4 linked regions of the Tamandua tetradactyla genome follow. The protein of the gene in region 3 purifies or fractionates together with the protein of the main gene of each other region. This does not show direct contact. Links are inferred from orthologs where the notes say so. Each region holds a gene or a part of one and is shown on either strand. Other genes may lie near its edges.

Region 1 (7,244 bases), on a different chromosome or scaffold from region 3:
CACACAGTCCATCCAAAGTATATAATCAGTGGCTCACAATATCATCACATAATTGTGTATCCATCACCATGATCAATTTTAGAACATTTGCATCACTCCAGAAAAAGAAATAAAAAGGAATGAGAAAAACCCATACATCCCATACCCCTTCTCATTGACCACTAGTATTGCAATCTACCCTTTTTTTTTTTTACCCTTTGTCTCCCTTATTATTTATTTTTTTGTCTTGTTTTTTTTCACTCCTCTGTCCATACCCTGGATAAAGGGAGCATCAACCACAAGGTTTTCGCAATCACACGGTCACAGTGTAAAAGCTATATAGTTATATAATCATCTTCAAGAATCAAGGCTACTGGAATATGAAATACAGTTCAACGGTTTCAGGTAATTCCCTCCAGCCACTCTAATACACCATACACTAAAAAAGGATATCTATATAATGCATAAGAATAACCTCAAGGATAGCTTCTCAACTCTGTTTAAAATCTCTCAGCCACTGACACTTTATTTTTTCTCATTTCTCTCTTCCCCTTTTGATCAAGAAAACTTTCTCAATCCTGTGATGCCAGTCCCAGCTCATCCCAGGAGTTCTTTCACACACTGCCAGGGAGATTTACACCCCTGGGAGTCATGTCCCACATAAGGCAGAGGGCAGTGAGTTCACCTACTGAGTTGGCTTAGAGAGAGAGGCCCCATCTGAGTAACGAAAGAGGTTCTCTGGGGATGACTCTTAGGCATTATTATAAGTAGGCTTTAGCTTCTCCTTTGAGGCAATAAGTTTCATAGGGGCAAACCCCAAGATCAAGGGCTCGGCCTATTAAATTGGTTGTCCCCACTGCTTGCGAGAATATCAGGAATTCCCCAGGAGGGGAAGTTTAAGATTTCCTCCTTTCTCCCCAGTTCCTCCAGGGGGCTTTGCAAATACTTTTTTATTCTCGTAGATGGATTTTTGAGTCTGGCTTCTTTCACTAAACACAATGCATTTGAGGTTTGTCTGCATTGTTTCATGTAGCAGTCACCAGTTCTTTTTTATAGCAGAGTAGTATTCCTTCATACATACAGATCACATTCGTTTATCCACTAACTCATTGGAGGACATTCCGGTTATTTCCTTTTGGTGATTATAGACAAAACCACAGTGAGCACCCACGGCGGATATGAACAGACTTCATTTCACTCAGGTGTTTCACGGGAGTGGGATTTCCAGATCATACGGCCGGCTTGCTCTTGAAAGTCTTTGGATGTACAGGTGAACAGTTGATGCACTTGTAAGGCTATTTTTTTTTAATTAAAGCTCTATTATCACCTGCATTACATACTACTTAAGTATGCCAAGCCTGCTACGCTTCAGCACTTTACTGAATGGGTAACCTTAGACAAGTCATGTAACCATTCAGGGCCTCAGTTTTCCACCTGTAAAATGGAGGTAACACTAGTTCCACTTCAGAGGCTGTCCGGCAGCTTAAATGAATTCATGCATGAACACGCCTGGCACAAAGCACAGCCAGGTCAGCAGCAGCTGTCATTAAAATATTAATTACCCGGCCTCTCTCACATGGTCCACCTAGCAACCTCAGCAGGGACCGTCCTCCCTTATTCCCATTTTACAGAGGAGTGACCTGAAGCTCCAAAAGATCAAGCAAGTTGTGTAAGATCAATGAGTCAGTAAAGAAGCATAAACAATGGGTCCAGGATTTGCACAGTGGCAGGCTGACCTCAGCCCTGCCCTCTTAGCTTCTCAGAGAGCCCAAGATTGGCTGAGGTTTCCACGGAGGCCACTTTCCCTGTACTATTCTGAAATGACCACTCATTTGCCTAGGTCAAAGGAGAGCTTTGTTTTTTTTAAAAAAAAAAAAAACTTCTAAAACGTGTCCCTGGCTTGTTTCAGGAGGAAGGGAGTGACCCGTGGCCCAGCGTTTCCTTGCCCTCGGGTCTGGAAAGAACCATTTGTAAAACCAGAGCCAAGTTAAGTCCTGGCTAAGACCTATGGAGGCCAAAACATCAGCAAAAAGATGTCACTGCCACATTTGTAACTCCCAATTACGTCACACTATAAAATCCTAGAGTGTAAGGAAGTCCATAAAGCTCTGTTTTGTTCCCCCACGATGGTGACTCGCCTCCTATTCAGCTATTATTTGTTTACATAACTTTTTTTAAACATTTTTTTATTATGAAATATAACATATACCAAAAAGCAATAAATTTCATAGTACAATGGAACAAATAGAACAGATTTCAATTATTGCTTTGGGTTACAGTTTCACAATTTTAGGTTTTTCCTTCTAGCTGTTCCAAGACACTGGAGATTAAAAGAAATACCAATATAACCATTCAGCAATCATACTCATTTGTTAAATCCTGTCTTCTCTGTTATAACTCCTCCTTCTCCTTTGATGCTTCTGCCAATCTTTAGGGGTATTTGGGCTATGCCCATTCTAGCTTTTTCATGTTGGAAAGGGCTATCAGCAGTATAGGATAAGGGAATGGAACTAGTTGATGTTCTTGGAGAGGCTGGCCCCTCTGGGTTTCAGGACTTATCTGGCCTAGGAGCCCATCTGGAGGTTATAGGTTTCAGGAAAGTTACTCGAGTGCATGGAACCTCTGTAGAAGCTCAGATAAAGTTCTTTAAGGTTGGCAGGAATGGTTTTGGTTGGGGTTTGGCAAACCTAGGTAAATAGCAATATTTCACTGAAGCTTGCATAAGAATAGCCCCCAGAATAGCCTCTCCAATCAATATTCACACAACTTTTTAAGTATCAAATTCTCTCTCCCTTATAACTGGTTCAGGACCCTTGCCCTGTCCTAGTCCAAAGTCTTTGCTGACAGGGTTTTCTTGGGGTCAGTGAGTGGGCAGGGAGGTCCAGGCACCAGGAGAAGGCTGCTGGGTTTTCTTTCTTGGAAATCTCAGCCTGCACCAGAGCAGGCAAGCAGTCACCAGAGGTTTTGCTGTGATGCTGCCCAGGAACGGGGTGGCTCAGCAGCCCACCACTGAACAAACTGGTAATTCACCCTTTTCACAGCTGTCCTCAGCACTTGACAAATGTCAACTCTTGTAAACTTCAGAACAAAAGATACAACAGTTATCCCATTGTACAGATGGCACAACTGAGGCTGAGAACAGTCAAGGACCCAGCCGAAACTCACGCAGCCAGGAAGTGCTGGAACTGGGAATCAGACTCCACCTTCTGGCTCCAGAGGCTCTAGAGCGCTGGCCTCCTGGGCTGTCCTCCAGAACCGCCGTTCACCCTGGCCCTTCTTCCCTACGCCTCTTTCCGCACCGCTTTTCCTCATCAATTCTGTCCTTGGTCAGGGGCACGCCAAACTCAGACTGTTCCACACATGAGCAAATGGAAGCACTGAGAGCTGTGTCCATCCCCCAAATCAAAAAGGTAGTGGGGAGAGAAAAAGAAGCAGCTGCGTCCGAGCAACCAGGAATATTTATGAAAGGTGCACAGCTGGCCAGATTTTGTCCCAGGCACCGGGTCCCAGTGGAGACCGGACCAGGTCCCTGCCCTGGCAGAGGCCACAGGCCCCGGGGTTTGTGTGGGGGGGGTCAGGATGAAAGCCAAGGGGCCAGATTATTTCAGATTTCAGTGGCAGGTGCTTTTGAGATATCGGTCAAAGCAAAATGTAGGAGGGAAGGGACTGGAACACTTCTCCGGAAAGGTGACCTTTGCATCACCTGTATGGTGAGGTCAGGGGTATTTTTTATGCCCATATTACAGGGGGCGGGGTGGGGCTGGGGGGTGGGGCTGGGGAAAGGAGAGGCACTGCCACTCCCCCTGAGCCACCCGGCGGGGCCCTGGGATTTGGCGGGCCGGCGGATTAAACAGCTCCTGGGGACCCGGCGGAACATATTCGGAGGGCGGGCCCACAGCTAGTCCCGCCCCTTCCCGGCGAGGGCGGCCGGTCGTAGGGTGGGAGCGCGTCATCACTCGCGGAGTCGCGCAGAGGGCGGGGCTCGCGGCCAGCCTAGCCGGCGGGCGGGGCGGAAGCAAACCCCGATTGGCTCTCCCGGGGGAGAGCTGGGCGGGGCCGCCTCCAGCCGGGGGGGAGGACGCGCCGCAGCGAGGCGTTGCCGAGGCTGCTGGCGGGAGGGGCGGGGCCGCGCGCCGTCGGCCGTTGGCGGCACAGCCCCGCCCCGGACGTCGCGCGTCGCGGGGCGGGCGGCGGCGATTGGCCGGCGCAGTGCGGGGGGCGGGGCGGAAGGTTCTGGAGGGGGCTGGCGGGCTCTGGAAGCTTCCGCCGGGCGGGTATATACAGTCTGGGAGCGGGCGGCGGCGGCGGAGCCGGGGCGCGGCAAAAGCGGGGCGGCGGGCCGCAGACGGGGGCTATGGGCAAGGACTACTACCAGACGCTGGGCCTGGCCCGCGGCGCGTCGGACGAGGAGATCAAGCGGGCCTATCGCCGCCAGGCGCTGCGCTACCACCCGGATAAGAACAAGGAGCCCGGCGCCGAGGAGAAGTTCAAGGAGATCGCCGAGGCCTACGACGTGCTCAGCGACCCGCGCAAGCGCGACATCTTCGACCGCTACGGGGAGGAAGGTGTGTGCGTGCGGCCGAGGCGCGCCTCCGCCGTTTGACAGGCGGGGAAACCGAGGCTTGGGGGGCGATCCCAGCCTGCCCGGGGAGCTGCCGCCGCCGCCTGCCCGCGGGGTCCCCGCCCTGGGAGGAGGAGCCCTGGCTGCGCTGCTCGCCCAGAAGCTTCTAGCAAGCCCGGGCTACTCCTCCCTGGGCGCCGCCGCCCACGGTCCCGGGTGCACCTGGCTTCACCTGGGCGCACCTGGGCCCGCGGCCCGCATAGGGCACGACCTGCGGGGAGGGGGCGCCTATCGCCCCCCCCCCGCCCCCCGCGGGCGACTGCGGTGTTCACCGGGCCCGGCACGTAGGAGAGGCGGGCTAGGATGGCCCTCCTCAGGGGGAAGAGAAAGAGATTTTCCTGTTGTCCACTTGCCCCTTGGTGACTCACCCTGGCTTTTGGGCTCAAGAAATGAGCCGACTTTGTGTAAGATGGTGGCAGCTAATGTTGGTACAGGATGGTGACAACTTGAAAACGTCAGTTTATTTCTTATTTTTTTCTACTCTTCCCATGCACACCACTAGCCGGAAGATGTCAAGAGCAAACAGGGAGGGCTTATACTGACTCCGGCCTTTGCATCTGGTTTCTGGTAAATCCTTGAAATAACGTTGGTGGGGAGGATGAACCAGCCAAGAGATGGCCTAGCCTGAGTGGCACCGAGGGATGCCCAACCCGGGGCTTAGGCTGGTATCCACTGTCAGTCTCATCTGGTGCTGCAGAGGCTTCGGCTTCTTCCTTGCTTTTCTTAACAGATCCCACAGAATTTGTCTTCGGAGGGTTCCCAAGTTCTTTTCTCTTATGTAAACCTTTCCAGAGAAGTTCTGGCTAGCTGCCTGACAACTTCCGGTTTTGCTTTTCAGGCCTGAAAGGCGGTGGTCCCAGTGGTGGGAGCAGCGGTGGTGCTAATGGTACCTCTTTCAGCTACACGTTCCACGGAGACCCCCATGCCATGTTTGCGGAGATCTTTGGTGGTCGAAATCCCTTTGACAACTTTTTCAGCCAGCGGAACGGAGAGGAAGGCATGGACATCGACGACCCATTCTCCGGCTTCCCCATGGGCATGGGTAGCTTCACCAGCGTGAACTTTGGCCGCTCCCGCCCCTCCCAGGAGCCCTCCAGGAAGAAACAGGATCCTCCTGTCACCCACGACCTCCGGGTCTCGCTTGAAGAGATCTATAGCGGCTGTACCAAGAAAATGAAAATCTCCCACAAGCGACTGAACCCTGACGGAAAGAGCATTCGCAACGAAGACAAGATCTTAACCATTGAAGTGAAGAGAGGGTGGAAAGAAGGGACCAAAATCACCTTCCCCAAGGAAGGAGACCAGACCTCCAACAACATTCCAGCCGACATTGTCTTTGTTTTAAAGGACAAGCCACACAATATCTTTAAGAGAGATGGCTCTGATGTCGTTTACCCAGCCAGGATCAGCCTTCGGGAGGTAAGGTGCTAGGTGGCACAGTGTCTGCGGTGGACAGGGCTATTCTTTGAAGCAGGCAGTATTTCCTCAACAAATAGTTGTAAGGGCTTAGTGTGTGCCGGCCTCAGGGGATATGGCAGTGAACCAGACTGACTAGGGCTCTTTCAGAGTTTTGTCCCAGTGATCTGAGTAGATTTGGAGGCAGGGTCCCAGCTGCAGGGGTCTGATGGATCTCACCTGTCTCCAAACTTCTGGGCAGGAGTAGTGCTTCCTAAGCCATCCTCCATCTAATGTTGTCCATTTGCTTCCCAAGGCTCTGTGTGGCTGCACGGTGAACGTCCCCACCTTGGACGGCAGGACCAAACCCGTCGTTTTCAAAGATGTCATCAGGCCCGGCATGAGGCGAAAAGTTCCTGGAGAAGGCCTCCCCCTGCCCAAAACACCTGAGAAACGCGGGGACCTCATTATTGAATTTGAAGTCATCTTCCCTGAAAGGATTCCCCAGACGTCAAGAACCGTACTGGAGCAGGTTCTTCCTATATAGTCACCTGCACTCCCCAAGGACTGACCAGGGACCTTTCTGGAGCGTGAGGCTTTCTGGACCGTTCTACCAGTTGTGGGCCCATGAGAGGGCGGGGTGGCCCAGGGAGGGCTTTCATACTGCTGAATGTTTTCCAGAGAATATATTACAATCTTTCAAAGTTGTGTGCTAGACTTAAGTGGTTTTTCAAAAGATAGGGTGGTAGGTGGTGGGGAGTGCAGGAAAAGGCACCTGGTTGGCCCCCCTGGGTCCTGCAGCCCCTGCCGGTGTGAGCCCCCCACCCCTCCTCAGCCTACAGGTGGGGCGAGAGGCAAACCCACAGCTGGACTTGATCCTCTGTAGTCCTTTTGCTTGCAGCTGTTGGGGTTGGGTCCAGCCTGCCACCTTAGTTACCAGACCGTATACTCTTCCCATTCCGTTATGTGATCAGTCCGTGTTTTATTCTGTATTTATCTTCAATGTCTTGCTGTTCCCCTGGAGAATGCTGTCTTCTCTTCTGTCATCTCAAATTGAGAACCTAGATTATTTCTACAGTACTGCCTGGCCGGCACTCACAAGCAATATCTCCTTCCAGCGGGACCAAGGGAGCTGGCCTCAAGTGAGTGAGTCGTGCAGACAGCCTCTGCTGCTGGGGTCTGGGGTTCTGGCCGGAGGGTGGAAGAGGCCCTGGGACCCCAGCTCTGGTGAGGCTGAGCGTGTTCATTC
Region 2 (7,529 bases), about 35 Mb from region 3:
AACCCTAAGTTAAACCATGGTCTTTAATTAATAGTACAATTATAAAAATGTTCTATCATTAATTGTAACAAATGTTCCACACCAATGCATAGTGTTGATGACGGTGTGGTGTATGAGAATCCAGTATTTTAAGCATGATTGTTCTGTAAACCCACTTCTCAAAAAAAAAAAACTTGGCAAAAGACTTGAACAGACACGTCACAAAAGAAGGTATACAAATGGCCAGTAAGCACACAGAAAGATGGTCAACATTATTATCATCAGAGAAATGTAAATACAACCACAATGACAAAGCACTTCACATCTATTAGAATAGCTAACAATTGAAAAGACTGACAATATCAAGTGTCAGTGATGCTGTAGAGCAACTGGAACTTTCATACCTTATTATGGAAGTATAAAATGAAACAATCGAAAAGCTTTGAGAGCAGCACACACAGAAGCTAAGGGAAGACAAAGAAGTTCAGAAAGAAAGCCAAAGACAATGCAGCCAGAAACTAAAAACAAAAGAAACCCAAGACAAAAGAACCAGCACATGCCACATGTGAATCCCATGATCACCAGCTTGTCTTAAGGAAGAAGGGATCATCTTGAGGATACCTTGATTTGAACATTTTCACAGCCTGAAAACGGTTAGCTTGTAAACTATTTAATCCACATTGTTAAAAGTCAGCCCATTAAAAAAAAAATTTAAAAAAGTCAGCCCATTTCTGGTCTACTGCATTTCAGAAACTATAGCTAACTAAAAACAGATATCAACACACAAATATCAGCAGTGTTTCCATACATTATAATGAGCAATCTGAGGAGGAAATCAAGAAAAAATTTCCATTAACAATAGCAGTTAAAAGAATCAGATATCTAGGAATAAATTTAACAAAGGATGTAAAGGACCTATAAAACATTGCTCAAGGAAGACCTAAATAAATGGAAGGACATTCCGTGTTCATGGATTGGAAGACTAAATATTGTGAAGAAGTCAATTCTACCCAAACTGATTTACAAATTCAACACAATCTCAATCAAAATTCCAAAACCCAACTTTGCAGAAATGGAAAAGCCAATCATCAAATTTATTTGGAAGGACAAGGGGCCCCAAATAGGCAAAAACATCTTGAGAAGGAAGAACAAAGTTGGAGGACTCATACTTTCTGACTTTAAAGCATATTACAAAGCTACAGTGGTCAAAACAGCATAAAGATAGATATATTGATACCACCATAAAGATAGATATATTGATCAATGGAATCAAATTGAGAGTTCAGAGATAGATCCTCACATCTATGGTCAATTGATTTTTTAGAAGGCTGCCAAATCCACTCAACTGGGACAAATGGTCTATTCAACAAATGGTGCTGGGAGAACTGGATATCCATATTCAAAAGAGTGAAAAAGGATCCCTATCTGACACCTTATAAAAAAAAGTAACTCAAAACGGATTAAAAAAAGCCTAAATAAAAGAACTAGGACATAAAACTCCTAGAAGAAATTGTAGGGAAACATCCTCAAGAGCTTGTGGTAGGAGGTGGTTTCTTAGACTTTACACTCAAAGCACAATCAACAAAAGAAGAAATAGACAAATTGGGCCTCCTCAAAATTAAATACTTTTGTGCTTAAAGGACTTCATCAAGAAAATGAAAAGGCAGCCTACTCAATGGGAAAAAATATTTTGAAATCATATATGTGATATGGGTTTAATAGCTAGAATATATAAAGAAATCCCACCATTCAACAACAAAAAGACAAACATCCCAATTTAAAAAGGGGCAAAAGACTCGTATAGAAAATTTTTCGAAGAGGAACTACAAATGGCTATAAAGCACATGAAAAGATGTTTAATTCACTAGCTATTAGTGAAATGCAAATCAAAATCACAGTGAGATATCAACTATAATGGCCACTATCAAAAACACAGAAAAACACAAGTGTTGGAGAGGATGTGAAGAAATAGGAACACTCATTCACTGCTGGTGAGGATGTTAAATGGTGCAACTGTGGAAGATAGTTTGGCAGTTCCTCAGGAAGCTAAATGTAGAATTGCCAAATAATCTGGAGAGTCTGCTACTTAGGTATATCCTCAAAAGAACTGAAAGCAGAAGAACTAAAACAGACATGTGCACACCTATTTTCACAGCGGTATTATTCATAATTGCCAAAAGATGAAAAGAGCCTGTCCATCACCTGATGAAAAATAAAATGTGGTATATATGTACAATGGAATATTAATCAGCTGTAAGAAGGAATGAAGTCCTGATGCATGAAACAACATGGATGAAGCTTAAAGACATTCTTTTGAGTGAAATAAGCCAGACACAAAAGGACAAATATTGTATGATCTTACTAATATGAACTAATTAAAATGAACCAACTCTAGGAGTTAAAATCTAGAGTATAGGTTACCAGGAGATAGAATTATGGATAGAGATTGGGGAGCCAATGCTTAATTTGTATAGAATTTTTAATAAGGTTGATTGTAAATATTTGGAAATAGATAAAGGAGATGCTGGCACATTACCATGAGTGTAATTAACAGCGCTGAATTATGAGTGTGTTCACAGTCGAAAGGGGAAGTTTAGGATTGTGTATGTCACGAGAAGGAAAGCTAGAGAAAAACCATGGGACTATATAACATACTGAATCGTGTTGTAGACAATGACTGTGGTTAGTTGTACAAATGTAAGAATGGACTCACATGAATTAGAAACAAATGTACTTCACTATTATAAGGTGTTAATAATAGGGTGGTATCTGGGAAAAATACAACTAATTAAAACTATAGACTAGAATTATGTTCTTTCATAAATTGTAGCAAAGGTACTATACCAATAAAAAGTGTCAAAAATGGTGGGGGAGTTATAAGAGGTATGGGATTTTTCATTCTGGAGCAATCAGAATGTTCTTTAATTGATTGTGGTGATGAAGGCACAGCTCTGTGATTACACTGAGTCATTAATTGTACACTTTGGATGAATTGTATGGTGTGTGAATAAAACTGTCTTAAACATTGGGCAACAGTGGCTCAGTGACAGAGTTCTCGCCTGCCATGCCAGAGACCTGGGTTCGATTCCCAGTGCCTGCCCATGTAAAAAAAAAAAAAAAAACTGTTTTAAATATTTTTTTAAATGATAAAGGCTAAAAGTCAGGAGAACATCATCTTTAAAGTACTGAAAAGGAAAAAACTGTCAAACCACAAACCTATGCCCAATGAAAATATCCTATAGTGAACGAAATAAAGATATATTCATAAAAATAAAATTCAAGACAATTTATTACCAGCAAATCTGCCCAACAAAGAAAAAATTTTTGATCAAATTCTTCAGACTAAAGAGAAATGAGACAAATGAGAACTCAGATTTCAGGAAGAAGTGCAATTCCTCAGAAACACGGTAATAATAAAAGATACATTTTCCTCTTCTACTTTTCTAAATACCTGTGACTGTTTACAGCAAAAAAAAAAGTGCATTTAGTAGTTTGTATATATAAATGCAATAATGTAAAAACTATAGCTTGAAAGAGTGATGTTAAACTAACTCTCCAGTTCCAAGATTCTTTTGGGGGGCGGTGGGGGACCGGCCCCGCATGGTCCGGGAATTGATTGCGGATCTCCTGCATAAAAGGCGAGCATTCTACCACTGAACCATCCGTGCACCCTCCAGTGGCAAGATTCGTGCCCAAAAAACAAACAAACAAAAAAACCCACAATCATTTTGGAAAGCAGTCTGGCAGTTTCTTATACACATTACTAGGACCCAGCAACTCCACTCCTAGCTGTTTACCCAAGAGAAATAAAAATGCAAATTGATACAAAAACTTGTAAAGAAGCTTTATTCATAATTGCCAAAACCAAAATCTAAATATCCTTCAAAAAGAGAGAAAAATTCACCTATCCAATCCATCCATCCATCCATCCATCCATCCATCTAATCGTCTTTTAGGACCTGAGGATTTCCCTGCTTGCCCCCAGACTATAAATTGCAGGAGAGCAGGTTCCCTCGTACTCCGTCCCACCTGAAGCAGGTGCGCAAGTTGGGCGAATGAATGAACGCAAGCATACATTTGTAGCCACCATCCCTTCGGCCTTGTATAGTCCCCTCATTCCTTCCACCGACTTCGCTGGCTGGACTAGGCCGGACCCGGTCCGCAGCTGGCTGGGGAAGGGGACCCGGCAGACCCGCCTCGCCCGCGGGCTGAGGAGAGCCCGGCGCCCGAGCAGTGAGCAGTGTGCGCAGCGCGGAGTCCCACCCGGCGGCGGCAAGGTCCGCTGGGACGGACGACGCGGGATGGACCGACAGACTGGTGGACAGCCCCGACAGCCGGACGCACCCGGCCGAGCATCCAGCCCCACCCGGCCCAGGGCGACCCCCCGACCCAGGGCTACGCGCAGCACGGCGGGGCGGGCCGAGGGCGGCGGGGGCGGGACAGGACAGACGAGAATCCCGCGGAGGTGAGGCCGGGGACCGTCCCGCCCCCGAAGGCAGACCCTGAGCCCCGGCCCCGCCCCGGCCGCCGGGGTGGAGGCTCCGGCTCAGAGCTCCGCGCTGCTCCCCACAGCACGCCAACCCGTGCGGGCGTCGCCTTCGGCTTCCAGGGTGAGAGGACCGGGGTGGGATTGCCTTCCGAAATCTTGGGTCCCGGAAATCGGGCGGGGACCGGGATGGGCTCGGCTGCGGGGCCTCCTGACTCAGCCCCCACTCTCAGATTTCGGGGTTTCCCTCCCCGGTTGCGGGCGCGTAACTTCCTCACTCCCGCCCGGACCCCCTCTCGCAGCTGGCTGGGCCCGACTCTGGCCCCGGCGGCCCCAGGCCCCTCTCGCTACCCTAGGTCCCTCCTCCCAGCTTCTGCTCTGTCCCGTCCGGACCTGGCTGGGGGCCCCTCGGTGCCCTAGTTACGGGACAGGGGCGGGGCGGAGGGATTCGGGATGAAGGACTACGGCAGAGGATGGAAGTTAGAGGGGAGTCTGCGGAACTTTGCAGACCCTTGGGCGGTGATTACAGGTTGTGGTCTAGGTGGGTGGAGGAGAGGGCCTGTGGGAGCTGGAGATCCCTGGGTTTGGGATACTTGAGGCAGGCCACCTCCCTGATACCTCCTGGTATTCCTAGGATGATGGCGACCCCGGGGAGCCCATTCTACAGTGGGGGTGACCTGGACTCAAGCCAGTTGCAGATGGAGCCCGATGAGGTGGACACTCTGAGGGAGGGCGAGGACCCAGGTACTCAGGAATGAAGACCTTCAGGGAAAGGAGGGCCAGGGGACTGTGGCTTCCTGGGATCTGCACTCCTCTGCTTTCTTTCCTCCTAGCTGACCGGATGCACCCCTTTCTGGCCATCTATGACCTTCAGCCTCTGAAAATGCACCCCTTGGTGTTTGCCTCTGGAGTCCCTGTCACAGCCCAGGTGGTGGGCACTGAAAGATACACCAGTGGCTCCAAGGTGCCTGGGCTGGTACCAGGGTGGTGGGTAGAGGGAGGGGTGGCCAGAGTGGAGGGCTGGGACCTGACCAGGGCCGGTCGACCCTGTTCCTCACTCCCCCAGGTGGGAACCTGCACTCTATATTCTGTCCGTTTGACTCATGGAAACTTCACCTGGACAACCAAAAAGAAGTTTCGCCATTTCCAGGAGCTGCACCGGGACCTCCTGCGACACAAAGTCTTGATGAGTCTGCTCCCTCTGGCTCGGTGAGAGGGAAGGAGCTGTTTCCTGTGAAGGGCAGGTGCCCCTCACTCTGGCAGCATGGACTACCCCAGCCCTCTTCTCTCCTTTCTTCCTCTTTCACCCCCAGATGCTTTCCTTCCCCTTAACTCTGGCCACTGGTCCCCCTCCGCTAACGTTGATGGCTGGGAAAACTTCCCTGCCCAGCTCTCCATGGTTCTGTGCCAGTATCTCAACTGGGCTGGATGCCCGAAATGCCCTTGGCAGCTTCCCCCCTTCCCTTGTCTCCATTCCCGGGGCAGGGTGGGGGTTGGGGGTGTGCTCCCTTCTGCCAGTCTCTAGGCCTCTTGCCCTCCCCAAAGGTCCCACCTTCAATACTCCAGAGATCCAGGCACCCAGCCTCCCAACTCTTACCTGTCCCTCCCCCATCTCTTCCACAGCTTTGCCGTTGCCTATTCTCCAGCCCGAGAGGCAGCCAACAGGGAGATGCCCTCTTTACCCCGAGTGGGTCCCGAGGGTTCCACCAGACATGCAGCTAGCAAGCAGGTGCGAATGGACACCAGGGCCTCTGGGAAGGTTTGGCATATAAATGGCTCTGGGCCCATCTGTCTTTCTCTCTCCCCTCATCCCCACTCCAGAAATACCTGGAGAATTATCTCAACTGCCTCCTGGCCATGTCTTTCTACCGCAACTACCATGCTATGGTAAGGTTCAAGAGCTGGATGCTTGGGTCCTTTGAGAAGGAGCAGTATAATCAGACCTCCAAGGGAGCAGAGGGCCAGAGTTGCTTGGGGCTGAGAGACTGAAAGTTTGGGGTCTCTTCTCTGAGCCTTTGTTTCCCTCTGCAGACGGAGTTCCTAGAAGTCAGTCAGCTCTCCTTTATTCCAGATCTTGGCTCCAAAGGCCTGTGAGTGTCTGATACCCTTCACCCGGCCATCTGCAAGATCTCTTTAGATCTCTCCCTGACTTGCGAATGGAAAAGACAGTGCGGGACGGGCTGAGGTTCTGGATTCCTCATCAAGCATCTCTTCCTGATTTTCCCCACAGGGAGGGGGTGATCCGGAAGCGCTCAGGGGGCCACCGGGTCCCTGGCCTCACTTGCTGTGGCCGAGACCAAGTTTGTTATCGCTGGTCCAAGAGGTGAGAGCTAGGGTAGAGCAGCCGGGCAGGGTGGGGGGTGGGGGTGAGGAGGGAGATCCTGAAGGCAGGGAGGAACGGTTGGAGCCCTTCCGCTCCAGGTGGCTGGTGGTGAAGGACTCCTTCCTGCTGTACATGTGCCTCGAGACCGGCGCCATCTCGTTTGTTCAACTCTTTGACCCTGGCTTCGAGGTGCAGGTGGGGAAGAGGAGCACAGAGGCACGGTATGGGGTCCGGATCGACACCTCCCACAGGTAAGACTTTTCTGAGGAGAGGAGAGCCAGCCCTAGGGCCCCGAGGGCTGATGAGGGGGAGAGACCTTGAAAAAAGAGGAAGGAATTTCCATCCTCCTTGATCTGGCCATGATTTTGAAACAGGCTGCTTAGCCCAGCTGGATGCCTGGGGCTGCTCTTCGAGTCTGGGGCTAGAGAAAGGGGGTTGAAAATAAGGAGCCCAGGGGAAGGGCTCTTGATATAAAAGAAAAGGAATTCCATTCATTCTGTTATTCTTCATTCAGCAAACCTGAGTGCCTGGTACAGCACCAGGTGCTGGGAACCCAGCTGCAAATGAGGCAAATATATGCCCTGTCACTGTAGAGGTGTGAGTTAGGGATTCAGGGAGCAAGTGGGAAAGAGGTGCTAGCCCCGCTGGGATGGTCTGTGTTGTGGCTGTGGTGTGGTCTCTGGTGTGGAGGGGGAGGACTGGTGGTCCAGCTCTCTGTTCTCTGTACAGATCCCTGATTCT
Region 3 (7,657 bases):
TCCCTCTCCCTCCCCTGTTCAAGTTTTGGCCTCCACTGACAGTACCTTCAGGAATTCTATTACAAGCTGTGTCTTACCCATTCCTGCTCACCAATAGCAGCTGGTTAGTTTTTGGTTATACAGGTGAGCACATACTCAGAACACTTGCAGCTTAAAACGTGATTTAGGGAAATAGAAGGCCTTTATAGATGCAGGTATGTAGTAGTAAAAAAGAAAGCTAGTAAATGGGGGGCTTCATGCGTTGGGTCAGGGATTCCTTAAACTGCAGAGAAGCCTCTCTGGTTGAGCAGACTCACCATGTGGCCAACTCTAGGCATGAAGATACCCTCCAGTGGCTTCCACATCCCCTCCTCAGGCCCCTAACTCCTAGCCAGGGTCCACTCTCACTCCCAACTTGAAGCTCCCACCAGAAGACCAGGGCACACACCTCCTTCTTGTCCTTGGATTTGTCAATCTCCTTCTTGAGCAGCTCCACGCGTTGAAAGGACTCTCGGCTATCCGTGCTATAGACCAGGACGTAGCCGTCCGTGCAAGAGAAGCAGTGCCGGGGCAGCTCAGCCCCATCTCGAAGCCCCCGGGTGTCATAGAAACGCACCTGCTCCCGCACCCCCCGGTCTGTCTCAATGGAGCCCACGTAGATGTCTTCCTGTGTCTCAATCATCTCAGAGCCTTGGATAAAATGAGGAGGGTACTTGTTTGAAGGGGAAGAGGGAGATGGAATTGTGAAGGATTGAGAGTATACTGCCAGGCTGAGCAGAAAGGGAGTGGAAGGAATGTCAGGGCAAAGGAGAGAATGACAGAGACAGAATCTGGAAGATTCCAGAGACTGTCCCTGGAATGATTTCAGAGACAGACATTGGTCTCATCCTAAAACTATGCTAGGCAAAAACATGACTTGGGAACTCCCTATCTTGGATATTGGGTTTCCTTCCTCTGGATTCACAGAGAGGATGTTCTCACCTTCAATGATGTAGGGTTGGGGGCAAGCTTTACTCTTCACTTTGCAAAACACATCATGAGTAGCTCTCGGCCTATGCATGTTGGTATCAAATCCTGCTTTCCACTTCTTTCCACCCCACTACCCACTTTCAACAACACTCACCCACTACATGGTTCCCATACAGAAGCTGTTCCAGGATTGAAGTTTTGCCCACAGATGCCTGGCCGCACACAACCACCTTGCAGCTCTTCCCCATGCTTAGCCTTCAACCTTGAGGAATAGAAGAACAGTAGGTGAGGTGGGGGAAGAAAGGAACAAAACAAGTGGCAGACCTCCCATAACCGAGACCCCAAGTTTTAAACCTAACATGGAGCCTCAGGGATTCAACACTGTCCCAAAAATTAGTCAGCGTGTAGTGAACTGATGTGTCCATATATCCACTACTGGACAGTGAGCTGTATTTGATTCATCTTTGTTTTTCTCAGCACATGGCTCAGTAAATGTTACCATAAGGGATAAGGAGAGATGTTGGTTTAACCACTGGCCGGGTCCTTTCTGTGCACAAGATGCTGAGGGAACCAGTTACTAAAGGCGGCTCTGGCCCAGTTTCTTCTTTTTAACCATGACCCTATGGAGAAATAAGCAGGGTTTCTATTTCGACTGGATCTGCCTTAAGCCAGCCTTAACAAAGGGTGAGGGAGATTAAGCAAATCAAGGAGGACAACTGACTTTCCTGTAAAATTTATTTGGACAATCACTATTAACCTCTAAATGCCAGTCAGGTTCATGGTTAAGATAAAGGACACCAGACAAAAAAGGAAGGAGTGAAAGAATCAGAAAACAGGGCTTCGGAAAGGAGATAATATTTGCTGCAGGGGATAATACAAAGACCCTTGGGCTGCAGACCCTTCAGAGAAGGCCCAAACAGAGAAAGCCGCGGAAGTCCTAGAGAGCCCCCAGAAGGCACCTCAAACACAAGCTTCCAGAAAAAGCCATACACAAAGTTTTCGCAGAAAGCAGAGACCACTCCTAAAGGGGAACCCTAAACAGAAACTTCTCTAGAGGAGCGCCCTACAGAGTTTCCCAATTAAGGAATATCCAAGAGAGGCCACCAGAGGGACCTACGCCTTAGATTTCCCTCACGAGGGGACCTCCAGAGTTAAACAGAAGCAGAGACCTGCTCAAAGACAGTGGCCGATTCCGGGAGCCGGACAAGTCCCGCTTCCCAGCTCCGCACCTCGCGAGGTTCTCGCTGCACCCCAGCTGGGCCCCTCCAAGCCAGGACCCGACCAGGGGCGGCACCACCGCATGAACTTCCCTCTTCCTCCCGGGTCGGTCCCAGCTCCGCCTGACCCCGCCCCCGCCTCGCGCCCGCCCCTCAGCTTCCGGCTGGCAAGAAGAACTCCGGCGGTAGAGAGTGGCGCCTGCAGCACAGCGCCTCCAGAGGCGGGCGGGGGAAATGACGGTCGCGACTTTGCCTGACTGTGCGCGGGAGCACCGTAAGATCCAAAGCATACTAACCCTTCGTTTACTCAGTCATTTATTCGTCAAATGTTTTCTGAACACCTACTCTGTGCCACGTGCACGGCCACGCGCTGAAAAAACGCAGACGAATTAGACACTGAAGCTGCAACAGAACTTCACAGACTATAGGAGCTAGACATGTAAACCAACGATTACAGTACAACATGGTAAGTACTATCACAGAGGTGCTATGAAGCAACAGCAAAGGGACATCAGGGAGAATCTTCTGGAGGAGGTCATGTCTGGGCTGATATTTGAAGGGCTTTCAGGGGAAAAGGTTGTTATAGGATGCAGGAAACATGGCAAGAGTCATGGTGTTTTCCGGAACTGCAAGTACTTGGGTTCAGTAAAAATGGTAAAAGGGAGCCAAATAATCACAGGCCTTTGTGGTAGGCCAAAGAGATCAAACCGTATCTTGACAGCAATGGAACGTCATTGATAGGATATATGCCAGTGAAGTGACATGACCAGTTTTCAGTTTTAGTACTGGTAGAAGAGTGAAGATTGGAGAAAGATGAGACTGGGGACCAATTAGGAGATTATTGTGGTATTCCAAGTTAAATAAAATAAACATGACAGCCTGAATTGGGATGAAAAGGAGGAGATAGATTTGCGAGATATTTGCTAGGAAAATCAACAAGACGTGGTGATAAGTTGGGAGTTGAGTGAAAAATAGAGAGTTCATGATGTCTCCCAGCTTTCTCATTTGGTTGTGGGGTGAATGGTGAATCCATGCAAACAAGAAAGTGAATCCAGGGAAAGAGAATCATGTGTAACATTTGTTTTTTTCTGTTGTTGAGGGGTGGGGAGAAAATAAAGTCAATGTAAGTATGTTAAGCCTCAGAGATTTGTGAAACATCCAATAGATGCCCGGTAGATAGTTAGATATATACAGATCTGGAACTTAGAAGAGAGATCTAGATTGGAGATAAATATCTAGGAGTTATCAACAGATGGAAGTTAAAACTGTGACAGTAGATGAGTTGACTTAGGTATCGAGGACACAAAGCAGGAAAATGGTCAAAGACACGTCTGCCTCCTGCATTAGACTGTTGAGCCATTAGCAGGCAGGTAAGTTGCTCTCCCAGCCCAGCCCAGAGCAGGCACTTCCAAGAGGGCCAGTGAATGACTGCTTGGATAAATGACCTGACCTATGTGATTTTAGCTCCTTCAGCACTTGGGAGGCAGGGACCATGCAATCGGGGTATGGACACCGGCACATACTGTTTTACTGGAGGAAGGGAAGATCCTTTTCAAGTTCCCTTGCCTACTTCTTTAGTTCCCCTTAGTTTTAACTTTTGACCTCAGAAACTACCCCTCCCCCCACCCATTTAATTCAAAGCCCACGAATTTTATTGGTTTGGGTGAGGGAAGTACTACAAAGATGATTAAGCTGTCTCTTTGTCCTCTGAGTTCCCAAGCTAGACTGCATTCAGACAGCGTACTGAGCGGGAGTTTATGTGAAGGGCGGGAGTACTGGGGGACCCTGTGGAGCAGGGACCTGCCTTATAAACTCCAGGGCACGGACGGGGCGCCGTGTTATCCTCCCTAGGCGTAATGCTGAGGTGGCACTCCCAGGAGGCCGACATAAAAGTAGGCTCATAAAAGGGTCAGCGTCATTAGGGTGATGAACCAGTTGGTGCTTGGAGATCTGGGGGGATGAAAGGCGCGGAATGAAGACGCCCTGCGTTCCCCTGGCTTGGTTGGGCAGGGTTTCCAAGTGCCGACGAAAGCGGAGGAACTGGGCTCGTAGTGTGTCTTCTTGCCTTTCTCGGGAGGAAGCCTTGGCTACTCTCCAAGGTCAGGAAGGTAGTACTGGGAACTCTTTCCCTCCAGATTCCTGGGTTACTGGGTCCTTACGCAAACCCAGACTCCCCTAGGCTTTACAGGAGACTCTCTAGGGCTGAGTTGCTATGGCAACGAGGCCCTCCGACTCCTAAGGAAAGCCAAGGTTTAGAAAGGCGACACCTTCCAGCATCTCCTTCCAACCCAGGGGCAAAGTGGCGCCCCCTACGCACAGGAACCGTTCCTGGGCTCCCGCCCCTGCACGGAGACCATCATGGACCGCCGGAGGAGGGAGGCCGCTCTGGCCTCACGTGGAGCCTCTCGCTGGTAGAAGGGCCCGAGGGAGCCCCTCTGGGCGCGCCGCGGCTGAGCTCCTCGATGCTCCTGCCGGAAGTGCTCTTCACCGCCCGCCTCCCACCCGGCTCTCTGGTCTCGGCGGTAAGATGGCGGCTACCGCGGAGTGCGATGTGGTAATGGCGGCGACCGAGTCAGAGCTGCTCAATGACGAAGAGGCGAAGAGGTAACCGGGTGGAAGGGTAGCGGAGGGAGCGAGCTTCAGTTTGGGGTAACCGGCTCCTGCCATGATGCAGCCCCAGCGGTTGGGACCATGCCCCGCCCTCCGCGAATCCCTCCCCCCCCCATCTGAGATCAGGTCCGGATGGACCCCCTGAAGGAGCGCTCTTGGGGGTCGGTCTTTTCCTGCAGCTTCCGCCTGGCAGCTGAGGCACGTCCTGTTCTCCAGCTGGAGAAAGGTCGTTCTTATTGTAGAAGCTGAGTCTCTGAAGGGGGGGATGGATCTCAGAAGTCTGTTGCGGGTGGGGAGCGGCGCGGCAACAATGACGACTTCCTTACATTGCCCCGGACTCCCGCCTTCTCCTGCTAACTTCTGTGCGTTGTTTTCTGTCAGCATTTTGCATCTCCGAAGCCCCTGCTCTTCTCAGCTCACTCTCCAGTAATTACACCCCAGCGACCTGTAGTCTGGGTCCGAGGTGATTGAATGTCTCCATTGTTAACCCGGTCAGCTCTGCCACTCCCTGGTTACCCCAGAAGTTGAAGATGATAGAGAAAGGAGGAAGGTTAGGGACTTGCTTGTCTTTCCCAAGCAGGATCCTCATTTCTCCCAGCTCTTTTCTCATAAGTGAAGCAACTGCTTGGGTGACGCTGGCAGTGCTGGGCAACTGCAGTGACTCGAGATTACCAGGTCCGACTAGTTGAGGGAGCAGCTGCTGAGTGAGTGATTTTCGCGAACACTCTGGATTCTGGGTAAAGCTAAGGCAGGTTATGGAAGTGTGAGGTACACAGTTGTGGGTGTCATACTTCGTCTAATCCAAAAGCAGAGTGGACAGAAAGGTTCTGGGAGTTTGAAGCCCTTTCCTTATCAACTGCAGGTTATTTTCATCCTTTTGTTTAGGGTTGTCTACAATACTCAGAGTTTCTCTCCCGCATATTTCAGTCTGAGTGATTTGAGGTGATGATGTAGAATTCATTTATGAAGTCTGAAATCAGGGTTCTGAGATTTCCACTATCTAAACATAAGAGGTACTCAGTAAGGTGAATAGTTTTTGAGCTTAAGGGAACTTACCACAGCCATTGCCTCAAGTTCCTTATCTGTTGGGAGCCTAAGGGTTTTGGTGGAGTGTGGTAGGTCCCTGGGATATCAGAGAAGGCAGGATACCAGAGTCCAGTCTCTCTCTGTTCCTTGTTTTGAGCTTTCACATTTTTCCTAGTTCTTTCCAATATATGAGCAGAATTAAGCATCATCTGGTCATATACTTTATTAAGGAATTGCAAAATGGGAAATAAGAACACCTCCCAATTTAGACCTTAAATTGAATGGTAAGGATTTCCTTTACGTGTGTTTTTGGAAGAGTTCTGTGGTTTTTTTGTGCTATAACTAGAGAATTGGACTATGTGTAATTTTAAAAACATCCTTCCCAGTGTAAATTTCTGTTGTAGGGGCGGTCCTTATTTTAAGCCTCATTTCAAAGTCTTCTATTAAACTTTTTTTTTTTTTAAAGGAAAATCCTTTTCCTTAAAAAAAAGTCACAGGTTGATTTTTTGCCATATAAGACACCTTTAGGAGGGTAAATAGGATCTGTTAGACTGGAAAAAAACTTATCTTATTTTTGTGGGTTTTTTTGTGGGGGGGTTCGTGTTTTTTTAATTTTTTATTGACAAATCTTCACAAACATACAGTCCGTACATGGTATACAATCAGTGGCTCACAATATCATGACATAGTTGTGTATTCTTTGCCGTAATCATTTAAAACATTTTTTTATTAATTAAAAAAAAAATTATAACAAACAACATTCTTAACATATGATCATTCCTTTCTACACATACAAGCAGTAATTTACAAGATCATCATCATCATGATCATTTCATCATCATGATCATTTCTTAGAACATTTGCATCAGTTCAGAAAAAGAAATAAAAAGACAATAGAAAAAAATTCAAACATACTTACCTCTTACCCCTCCCTTTCATTGATCACTAGCATTTCAATCTACTAAATTTAGAAAAAAACTTATTTATGTATGATTTTCCAATGCTGAAAATGGAGTACAGATTTAGAAACTTTGGAGGGAGATTGTTTTACATTTTGTATATGTCCTGGAATCCTGTGTAGCCCTAATAGAGGTAGGGACAGGGCATACAAGGGCATACAACTGCCCCTGTATAGTCTGGCTTGTTCAGAGACATTTGACCAAGTTCCTGTTTCTCTTGTTAACAGTCCTACTACCAGTTCATTTGGGCACATGGGAGTTAGTGGGTCTCTTGGGTTGTTTATTGGAGGTCTAGCACATGAGCTTTTGCTGGAGTCCTGCAAGAAGTCTTTCCTTCCTTGCATCTTTGCTCAAGGGTATCTTGCTGCTACTGCTAAGTTTTGAGAGTCCTACCAGAGAGGAAATGAAAGGAACTTTTAAGACATAGGACCTCATCATTGTAGCATTTTAAATGGCTACATACTTTATTTTTTTAGCTTTTCATATCTCTAGAGAGAAAAAAAAGATGGACTTCAATTTTTTAGCTTGCCATTCTGACAGTTCTTTTCCCACATAGCAGCTGAGAGGCTAAAATAAAAATGTATTATTTGGTATTCCAAAGTAGATCAGGTTCTCTGTATGAAGATTATTTGTTTCTCTTTGCCCATCAGAACAGATAAAGCTACTTAGGAGCCAGAGGATGAAATTTCAGAAGTTTTAAATTTCAACTAATTTAAGATACTAGCTTCACATTTTCCTGAGACGTTGTGAGTGCTTTACCTTATTGGCTAAGGTGACTAGCAGGGCCCGTGCCATTTTTTCTCAAATTAAGGTTCTTTGGTCATAGCTCCTGGGCTGGGAAGCAGCTTGCTCTCGCTAGGTAATCTTTTATTCTAAAATTCAGAGATTTCAAGTTGT
Region 4 (7,284 bases), on a different chromosome or scaffold from region 3:
CTTGGCCTCCACCCACTAGATGCCAGTAGCACCTCCCAAGTCATGACAATCAAAAGCATACCCGGACATTGCCAAATGTTCCCTGGTAGGCAAAATTATCTCGGTTGAAAAACCACTGCCTTCAGTTACTCAAAAACCTAGTTACGAAGTATCAACATTTATTTCTAAAGACTAGCAAGATCAAGTACATGAATATTAATAGGCTTGAATTCTTCCAAGTCTCTAGACTTGTAAATTCAATTTAGGGCAAAACTGAAAAAAGCCAAACACTATAAACACGTAAACATTATTTGCTAAAGCACTGTCAATAAGACTGTTTAAAATTTGCAATTCTTTGTAAAACATTTCAATATTATGGATGTCACCAACATCAGTCATTTCGTTAAAGTAACTTAATTGCTATTTTATCAAATTAACTTAATATTTCCACTTGTTTACCAAAAAAAGTTTAAGACAAACTTTTTAAGCAATATTTTCAAAGAGTAGAAACAGTCAAACAGATTTTTGGACTTCTCTTTCAACAGGGAATTCAAGCTTATAAAGACAATCTATTGAGCAATAACTACAAAAGTTCATGGCTTCTAACTTCCGTTACAACATCGACAAAACTAAACGGCAGCAAAACTTTGGCTAAGCAGAGTCATGTGCCGATAAAGCTGAGGAAATCCCTGATCAGAGTTTGACTGGATATAATTTATTAAATAAATGGGTTTATTTGGTCAGGCCAACAATAAATTTGATATTGTCCACTGGCAGAATATCTTATTGTGAAAAAAGCTGGTTTTATCTTGCGATATAGCACCTACAGAATGAAAGAAAACAAAGTCGCCTTTCCCAGATTTTACCAAAAAGGGGGGGAGGGGGACAGAAGGAATGACATAACATTGGGGCATTTTAATTTCTGTTGTGAAAAAATTTACTCCATAATTTCATAATAAAAATATTTTCACTTACAATCACAGAGTATTGGCACTGTAAGGACCCTTAGATGTGACCTAGTTCAATCCCTAATTTTTAAAATGAAGAAAAAGAGAATAAGATTTAGTGGGGAAAAAAAATCTTTGTATACATATACTTTACTAAAAAAAAAAAAAAGAACCTAATGTAAATAGAGCACTTATTAAAATTTGGGTAGTGGTTACATGGGAATGTTACATTATACTGCATAATCTAAAATTTCCATAATTTAAAAACATTTTTCCATTAAGGTTTAAATAAAGATGAAGAAACTAAAGCCCAATGAGATTAATGGCTCGCCCCACACAACACCTCATTAGGCCTAGAACCCAGGCTGTCTAAACGCCAGTGCAGTGCAGTGCTTTTTCAAATTTCAAGTAATGTTTTCAAACTAGAAGAAAAAATTTATACTATTAGATAGTAATCTGAAGAAATACTAGAACTTTAGAGGGCACTAGGCATTCAAATTCCTTAAACGTCTCTCTTTATTTGCCTTTCTTTCGCATATTTATTGTGGTGGGGGATGTAAACATGCATGGATTGATATGCAAACCATACTGAACCAATCAAAAGCTCAGTAATCAATCTATTAAAATGAGGTTCCTCCACAAGTCAGGGCAGGCTGATGGTTCTACTAACACATACGTTATTATCAATTATTCAGTAGCCACGTTTTTAAAAAAGTAGAATCAAGGGAAATGAATGTTAATGTATTTATCTAACTCAATATATTCAAAATTTTCAACATGCAATCAACATTAAAAATATGAGTGAAGGACTTTATATTATTTTTCTCCTGATTGAGAGTATTATTCAGAGTATTCAAAAGATGGCATGTGTTTTACACTTTACAGCACATGTGGGGACAACCCACATTTCAAACGCTCAATAGTCACAGTAGCACTATGCTATTGGACAGTGCAGTTCTATAACTATTTGTTGACTGAATTCAAAGCAGTCCATCCATCTGAGCTGTGCTTTCGATTTCCCTGCAAAGCTGACACAATTCCCAACTCTGATAGAGTGAGCAAGTATCCTTAATGCCCCCAAAGCTTAATGTGTAATTAGTGCAAATAATTAAGCTTTTTTAAGAGTGTGCACACATACTATTGTCTACTCTTATACACTCAACCCTCTAGAATAGGAAAGCTTGCGTAAATTCCTGGGCAACCAAGCATAATTAACGATGATGCTGGTCGTAGCTTGACTGTCTATCCCTTCTAAACAAATCTGAAAACCCTCTTTCTTAGGAAAGAAAAGTAAACAGAGGAAAGAAATCGCTTTCTCAAAAACTCATATCCTTAACAGTTAAGAATCCCCACTGACGTGCCTTTGTTAAAGATCGTCGCCTACTTATCTACAAACCCCAATTCTAAAAAGAAGGCAGCTAGTTCTTGTTCTCTATAAAATGCCAGAAAAGATAACTGCGAAATGCAATCTCCTTTTTCCTTTCCCTTGGTACCACTTGGTTAGTGTTTATGACCACGCAGCCATCCTTGCCACAACCAGAGCGGGAAAGATTTTCTTTTCATGTCGTGGAGCCAACTCAGGACAGCGACAGGGCCCCAGGGTGGGCAAGGATTTAGACCTCAGTGACCCAAACGGAGCGAACTGGGGCAGTGCCAGGGCGGACCCGCCGCATCTCCCGCATCAGGAGCCGGGAGCCCCGGGGGGCCGAGTGCGGCGGGGGTGAACACAGGCCTCTAAGCCCCGCATCTGCCGCCCCGGGAGGGGAAATCCTCCGGGCGCCCAGCGCTGAGCAGTCCCTGGCGGCGAAGGGAGCAGGGCCCGGGAAGGAGGCGGAGCTTGGCGGAGCCCCAGGCGTCGCCTCCTCGGCCCAGGAAGCCCGCCTGCAGCTACCCGCTCGCTTACCGCCCCAAATCCCCAGCTTCAACTGGGACTTGTCCAGGTTCTCCACATAATCCCCCAGGAAGCGATTCAGTAGGTCCGCGACCACCGACTCGAACACCATCGTGGGGCTGAGGCTGCTGGAGAGGGAGGAGCCAGAACCGCCCGGCGCGGCTGAGGGCGGAGACCCAAGCCGCGAATGACAGCCCCCGGGGTCCCGTCCCGCCTGGCGCCGCGCAGCCGCGTGACTCCGCTCGTGCGCACGCGCGCCGCCGCCAGCGCCGGGAAAGGGGTTGTGGGTCTCCGCGCTGCGCCCGCGTGGTCTCCGCAGCTGGAGCCGCTTGAGGACTAGTCGGGGAACGGCGGGGGCAGCCCCTTGGCAGCTCTGGCTGAACGGAAAGGGACGTTAGAAATGAAAAAAGGGGAGGCAGGAGTTACTGAGCACGGGCACATCTAAGTGGCAGCTCTGCTTCCCTGCAGCCGCCCCCCTCTTGACCTGGATCCCGCGGAGCTCGCCATCTGGGGCGTAGGCAGCTTCATGACGCCTCCCCACCCTCGCACCCCCCAATTCCCAGGGCCGGCCGGGAGGGAGCCCGGCGCTTCCCAAGTATAGTGTTGAGCACCTCTAAGCAACCGCCTCTTCACCTTATGGGTCAAGTAGGGCTAAGGGGACACTGCATTTTTGTTGTTGGATTTCAGCTGTACACGAGGCAAGGCTTGCTCCTTAAAAACACACTTTAATAATTTAAAAAAGATATTGCAACAGAACCGCCTCATGAGATGGCAAGTAAAATGGGAATTGAACATACGCTTTGTTGAAAACTCATTGTTTTTCTCCCTCCTGTGCTTGATTGACTATTAAGTCACAAGCCAACATAACTTCTTGATTATACCTCATTGCGGAAATAAAAATAAAACTTAGGCCTTTTTCTGAAAGTATGTGTTACCTGTTACATATAACTTGTTTCCATGCTATCATTGGATTGTCTTGGTAGCAAGACGTTAAATGCAGATAATTTATACCGCAAGGAATTCGGCCCTGGTAAAATTAAACTACTCATTGGCAAATGTCATCTTTTAGAGACTGGATTTTTTTTTCTAAAATGCCCAAAAAACTTTGAAATATAGTAAACAGATAAGTGTAAGAAATCTCTTGCTAGGAGTTAATGAGTGAAAGTGTATGTGGTGGTTTGAAGTTGTGTGTACCCCTGAAAAACTTTAAAATTTACTCTAGTCCTGTGGGTGAACCCTTTGTAAGGAGAGAGAGAAATACCACCTTGATAATATCTTGATTTGGATATTTTCTCAGCCTGAAAACCGTAAGCTAATAAATTCCCATTGTTTTAGCTGAACTATTTCATGGTACTTGCTTTAAGCAGCCTAAGAAACTAAAACAGGGCAGGCCACGGTGGCTCAACAGGCAGAGTTCTCACCTGCCCATGCAAAAATAAATAAATAAATAAATAAATAAAACTTTTTTTAAAACACTACTAAAAAAAGAAACTAAAGCAGTGTATGTGCATATTGTTCTAATAATAAACAATCTAGGCTTCAATGGAATCAAAAGAAAGTCATTTCTTAAAGTCCATTGGAGAAGAAAAAGAAGAAAATCAAAACCTTTTCAGTTGGTGTCACATAAGAGGAATGATACAAAAAAAAGATAGAACCAGCACTAACTAGTATTATCAACATATGCCTCCATCCTTCATTCCTGCAAACAGAAAATAAATCCTTAACCATTTGTTTTCCCTTTCTCAGTTAGGCAGACAAACTACCCAGGAGGCTTCTGGACTTCTCTTCTTCACCATCTACAATCAATTAAAAGCCAAACCTGTCTATTCTGCATCTTCCCTGTCTCCTAAATGTCTAGTCTGGCCTCCAGTTTTTCCCTTTTTCCAATTCATTCTTCATACTGGCACCAAAATTAGTTTCCCAAAGGACAGGTTAGTCTCTGGCTCAGAAACACCCAATAACTTTCCAGTGTTTGAAATGCCCTCAGCAATCTGTCCCCAAATTATCCTTCTAGACTTGTCCCCTTAACATCCACTCTCTCCTTGTTCACTGACACCAACTGAGTGGACTGCAAAGAAACAATATATGTTCTAGTTAAGGTTAGGCATGTATTCCTAATTTAACTTGTCTGGTCAGTTTAAATGAACACTATAAGTACATGGAATCTTGAACACAGCATGAGATTTTGTTGGTTTGTCCAGGTTCATGTGATGCCTCAATAAATCCCAGAGTGGTATGGACAGTGAATAAAGAATTATTTGGAAAGTCCCCTTGGGAAATGGAGAGAAAGAGGGAAATATTCAACTTCACCATTTGGAGAATTTTTTATATTCTCACAAGACTGGGGACAACAAAATCAATAGACTGAGCCCTTGATCTTGGGGTTTGCCCCTATGAAACTTATCCCTGCAAAGGATAAGCTAAGCCAACTTAAAATTAAGCCCAAGAGTCACCCCAAAAGAACCTCTTTTGTTGCTCAGATGTAGCCTCTCTCTAAGCTGACAGGGCAAGTGATCTCATGCCTTCCCCTTCTATGTGGGACATGACTTCCAGGAGTGTAAACCTCCCTGGCAACGTGGGACAGAAATCCAGGGATGAGTTGGGATTCAGCATCAAGGGATTGAGAAAACCTTCTCGACCAAAAGGGGAAAGAGAGAAATGAGACAAAATGAAGAATGAGTGGCTGACAGATTTCAAACAGAGTTGAGAGGTTATCCTGGAGGTTATTCTTACATATTATATAGATATCCCATTTTAGTTTATGGTATATGTGGCTAGAGGGAAGTACCTGAAACTGTAGAGCTGTGTTCCAGTAGCCATGTTTCTTGAAGATGATTGCATAATGATACAGCTTTTATAATGTGACTGTGTGATTATGCAAATCTTGTGTCTGATGCTCCTTTTATCTAGGGTATGGACAGATGAGTAAAAAATATGGATGAAAAATAAACAAATAATAGGGGAACAAAGATTAATATAAATTGAGTAGATTGAAATACTAGTGCTCAATGAGAGGGGGGTAAGGAGTATAATCATGGCGATGAATACATAACTATGTGATGATATTGTGAGCCACTTGATTGTATACCATGTACAGAATATTTGTACGTCAAGAATGTATGTTTGTTAAGATTTGACAATAAAAATATTTTTTTTAAAAATTAGGCATGCAGCATAAAAAGCTAAGAAACAAACCAGTACAAGAACATATGCAAATGGTAATGCGAGATTGTATGAGAAATGCCACAGGAAGAATGGAACTGTCAAGACTGTGGAAGAGAAGTTACAGTCTCTTGAGAGAGGTGGGCAACACTAATGCCTTGTATGGTAATAATTCTTTGCACTTCTATGATACTTTAACTTTTGAAAGAATAATTTATGTGTGTTTTTATATGCATCATTACATTTTACTTAGTGCTTCAGTTATACTTCATGAGTCATCGTGTGTTTTTTTATGCCAAGTGTTTTAGTTTATAAAAGCTGCTGGAATGCAATATACCTGAAATGGAATGGCTTTTAAAAAGGGGAATTTATTAAGTTGCAATTTTACAGTTCTAAGGCCATGAAAATGACCAAACTAAGGCATCCAGGGAAACATACCTTGACTCAAGAAAGGCCAATGGGTCCAGAACACCTTTGTCAGCTGGAAAAGCACATGACTGGCATCTTCTATCTTTCTCTCCTGGGTTTTTCATTTCATTTCATAAGAAATAAATAAATAAGGGGTGCTCTCCTGCATCTCCAAAGATCTCTGGCTGTGTGGCTCTCTCCATCTAAAGCTTTTTCTAAAATGGTTTCCTCTTAAAGGACTCCAGTAAGCTACCCCACCTTGAATGGATGGAGACACATCTCCATGGAAACATTCTAATCAAAAGTTACCACCTTCATTAGGTGGGGTTCTGTAAAGAAACAAATCAGCAGGAGATATCCATAGATATAAAATTTATAAAAGTGTCTCACATAACGGTGGGAATGTAGAACCAGTTACAAGCTGGTTGATGAAGCTCCTCAACAAACTCTCAGGAGAGGCTGGCTGGACAACCATAGAAATGGATGGGTCCAAAATCGTAGGTCAGGCTGTGAAGCTGGCAACTCCAATGGAGGGTCTGGACGAACTCCACAGGAGAGGCTCACTGGCTGAAGCAGGAAGAGTAACTGTCTCTTCTGAATCCTCCTTAAAAGCCTTCTGGTTATAGTCATGCCCTGTGAAAACCAATTTTTGTAGACCTGCTACAAAGAGGTCATTAGTATCATTCAGTATGAACAGAGAAAAGTGATAATCCACTCAGACCTAAAATAAAAGACAATTACAACTGTGAAAAAAAAAAAAAAAAGCCTTCTGGTTATTAGATTAAGCATCACTCATTGCAGAAGATACTCCCCTTAGCTGATTACAAACACAATTAGCTGTGGATGCAGTCAAGGTAACCATAATTTAAGTCCATGAAATGTCCTCACAGCAACAGA

The links.
Region 1: the proteins of DNAJC7 (region 3) and DNAJB1 purify together in Homo sapiens (affinity purification with mass spectrometry; 3 studies listed by BioGRID and IntAct, with this or other methods). This does not show direct contact. The link is inferred for Tamandua tetradactyla from reciprocal best matches to the Homo sapiens genes DNAJC7 and DNAJB1.
Region 2: the proteins of DNAJC7 (region 3) and PLD2 purify together in Homo sapiens (affinity purification with mass spectrometry; 3 studies listed by BioGRID and IntAct, counting the BioPlex papers as one, with this or other methods). This does not show direct contact. The link is inferred for Tamandua tetradactyla from reciprocal best matches to the Homo sapiens genes DNAJC7 and PLD2.
Region 4: the proteins of DNAJC7 (region 3) and VPS13C purify together in Homo sapiens (co-immunoprecipitation; 4 studies listed by BioGRID and IntAct, counting the BioPlex papers as one, with this or other methods). This does not show direct contact. The link is inferred for Tamandua tetradactyla from reciprocal best matches to the Homo sapiens genes DNAJC7 and VPS13C.

What each region holds. Positions count from the first base shown.
Region 1 is NC_135337.1:88,457,018-88,464,261, forward strand, and holds the start of DNAJB1 (dnaJ homolog subfamily B member 1), read left to right. Parts: upstream 1-4,239; 5' UTR 4,240-4,333; coding exon 4,334-4,544; intron 4,545-5,438; coding exon 5,439-6,019; intron 6,020-6,311; coding exon 6,312-6,542; 3' UTR 6,543-7,244. UniProt on the Homo sapiens protein: Interacts with HSP70 and can stimulate its ATPase activity. Stimulates the association between HSC70 and HIP. Negatively regulates heat shock-induced HSF1 transcriptional activity during the attenuation and recovery phase period of the heat shock response.
Region 2 is NC_135332.1:60,581,429-60,588,957, reverse strand, and holds the start of PLD2 (phospholipase D2), read left to right. Parts: upstream 1-4,492; 5' UTR 4,493-4,589; intron 4,590-5,099; 5' UTR 5,100-5,100; coding exon 5,101-5,209; intron 5,210-5,298; coding exon 5,299-5,429; intron 5,430-5,531; coding exon 5,532-5,674; intron 5,675-6,088; coding exon 6,089-6,194; intron 6,195-6,286; coding exon 6,287-6,352; intron 6,353-6,496; coding exon 6,497-6,555; intron 6,556-6,695; coding exon 6,696-6,788; intron 6,789-6,886; coding exon 6,887-7,039; intron 7,040-7,517; coding exon 7,518-7,529.
Region 3 is NC_135332.1:25,200,237-25,207,893, forward strand, and holds the start of DNAJC7 (dnaJ homolog subfamily C member 7), read left to right. Parts: upstream 1-4,639; 5' UTR 4,640-4,692; coding exon 4,693-4,769; intron 4,770-7,657. Other genes in the region: NKIRAS2 (NF-kappa-B inhibitor-interacting Ras-like protein 2), read right to left, coding at 428-669, 1,103-1,196. UniProt on the Homo sapiens protein: Acts as a co-chaperone regulating the molecular chaperones HSP70 and HSP90 in folding of steroid receptors, such as the glucocorticoid receptor and the progesterone receptor.
Region 4 is NC_135340.1:78,224,872-78,232,155, forward strand, and holds the start of VPS13C (intermembrane lipid transfer protein VPS13C), read right to left. Parts: upstream 3,013-7,284; 5' UTR 2,930-3,012; coding exon 2,830-2,929; intron 1-2,829. UniProt on the Homo sapiens protein: Mediates the transfer of lipids between membranes at organelle contact sites. Necessary for proper mitochondrial function and maintenance of mitochondrial transmembrane potential.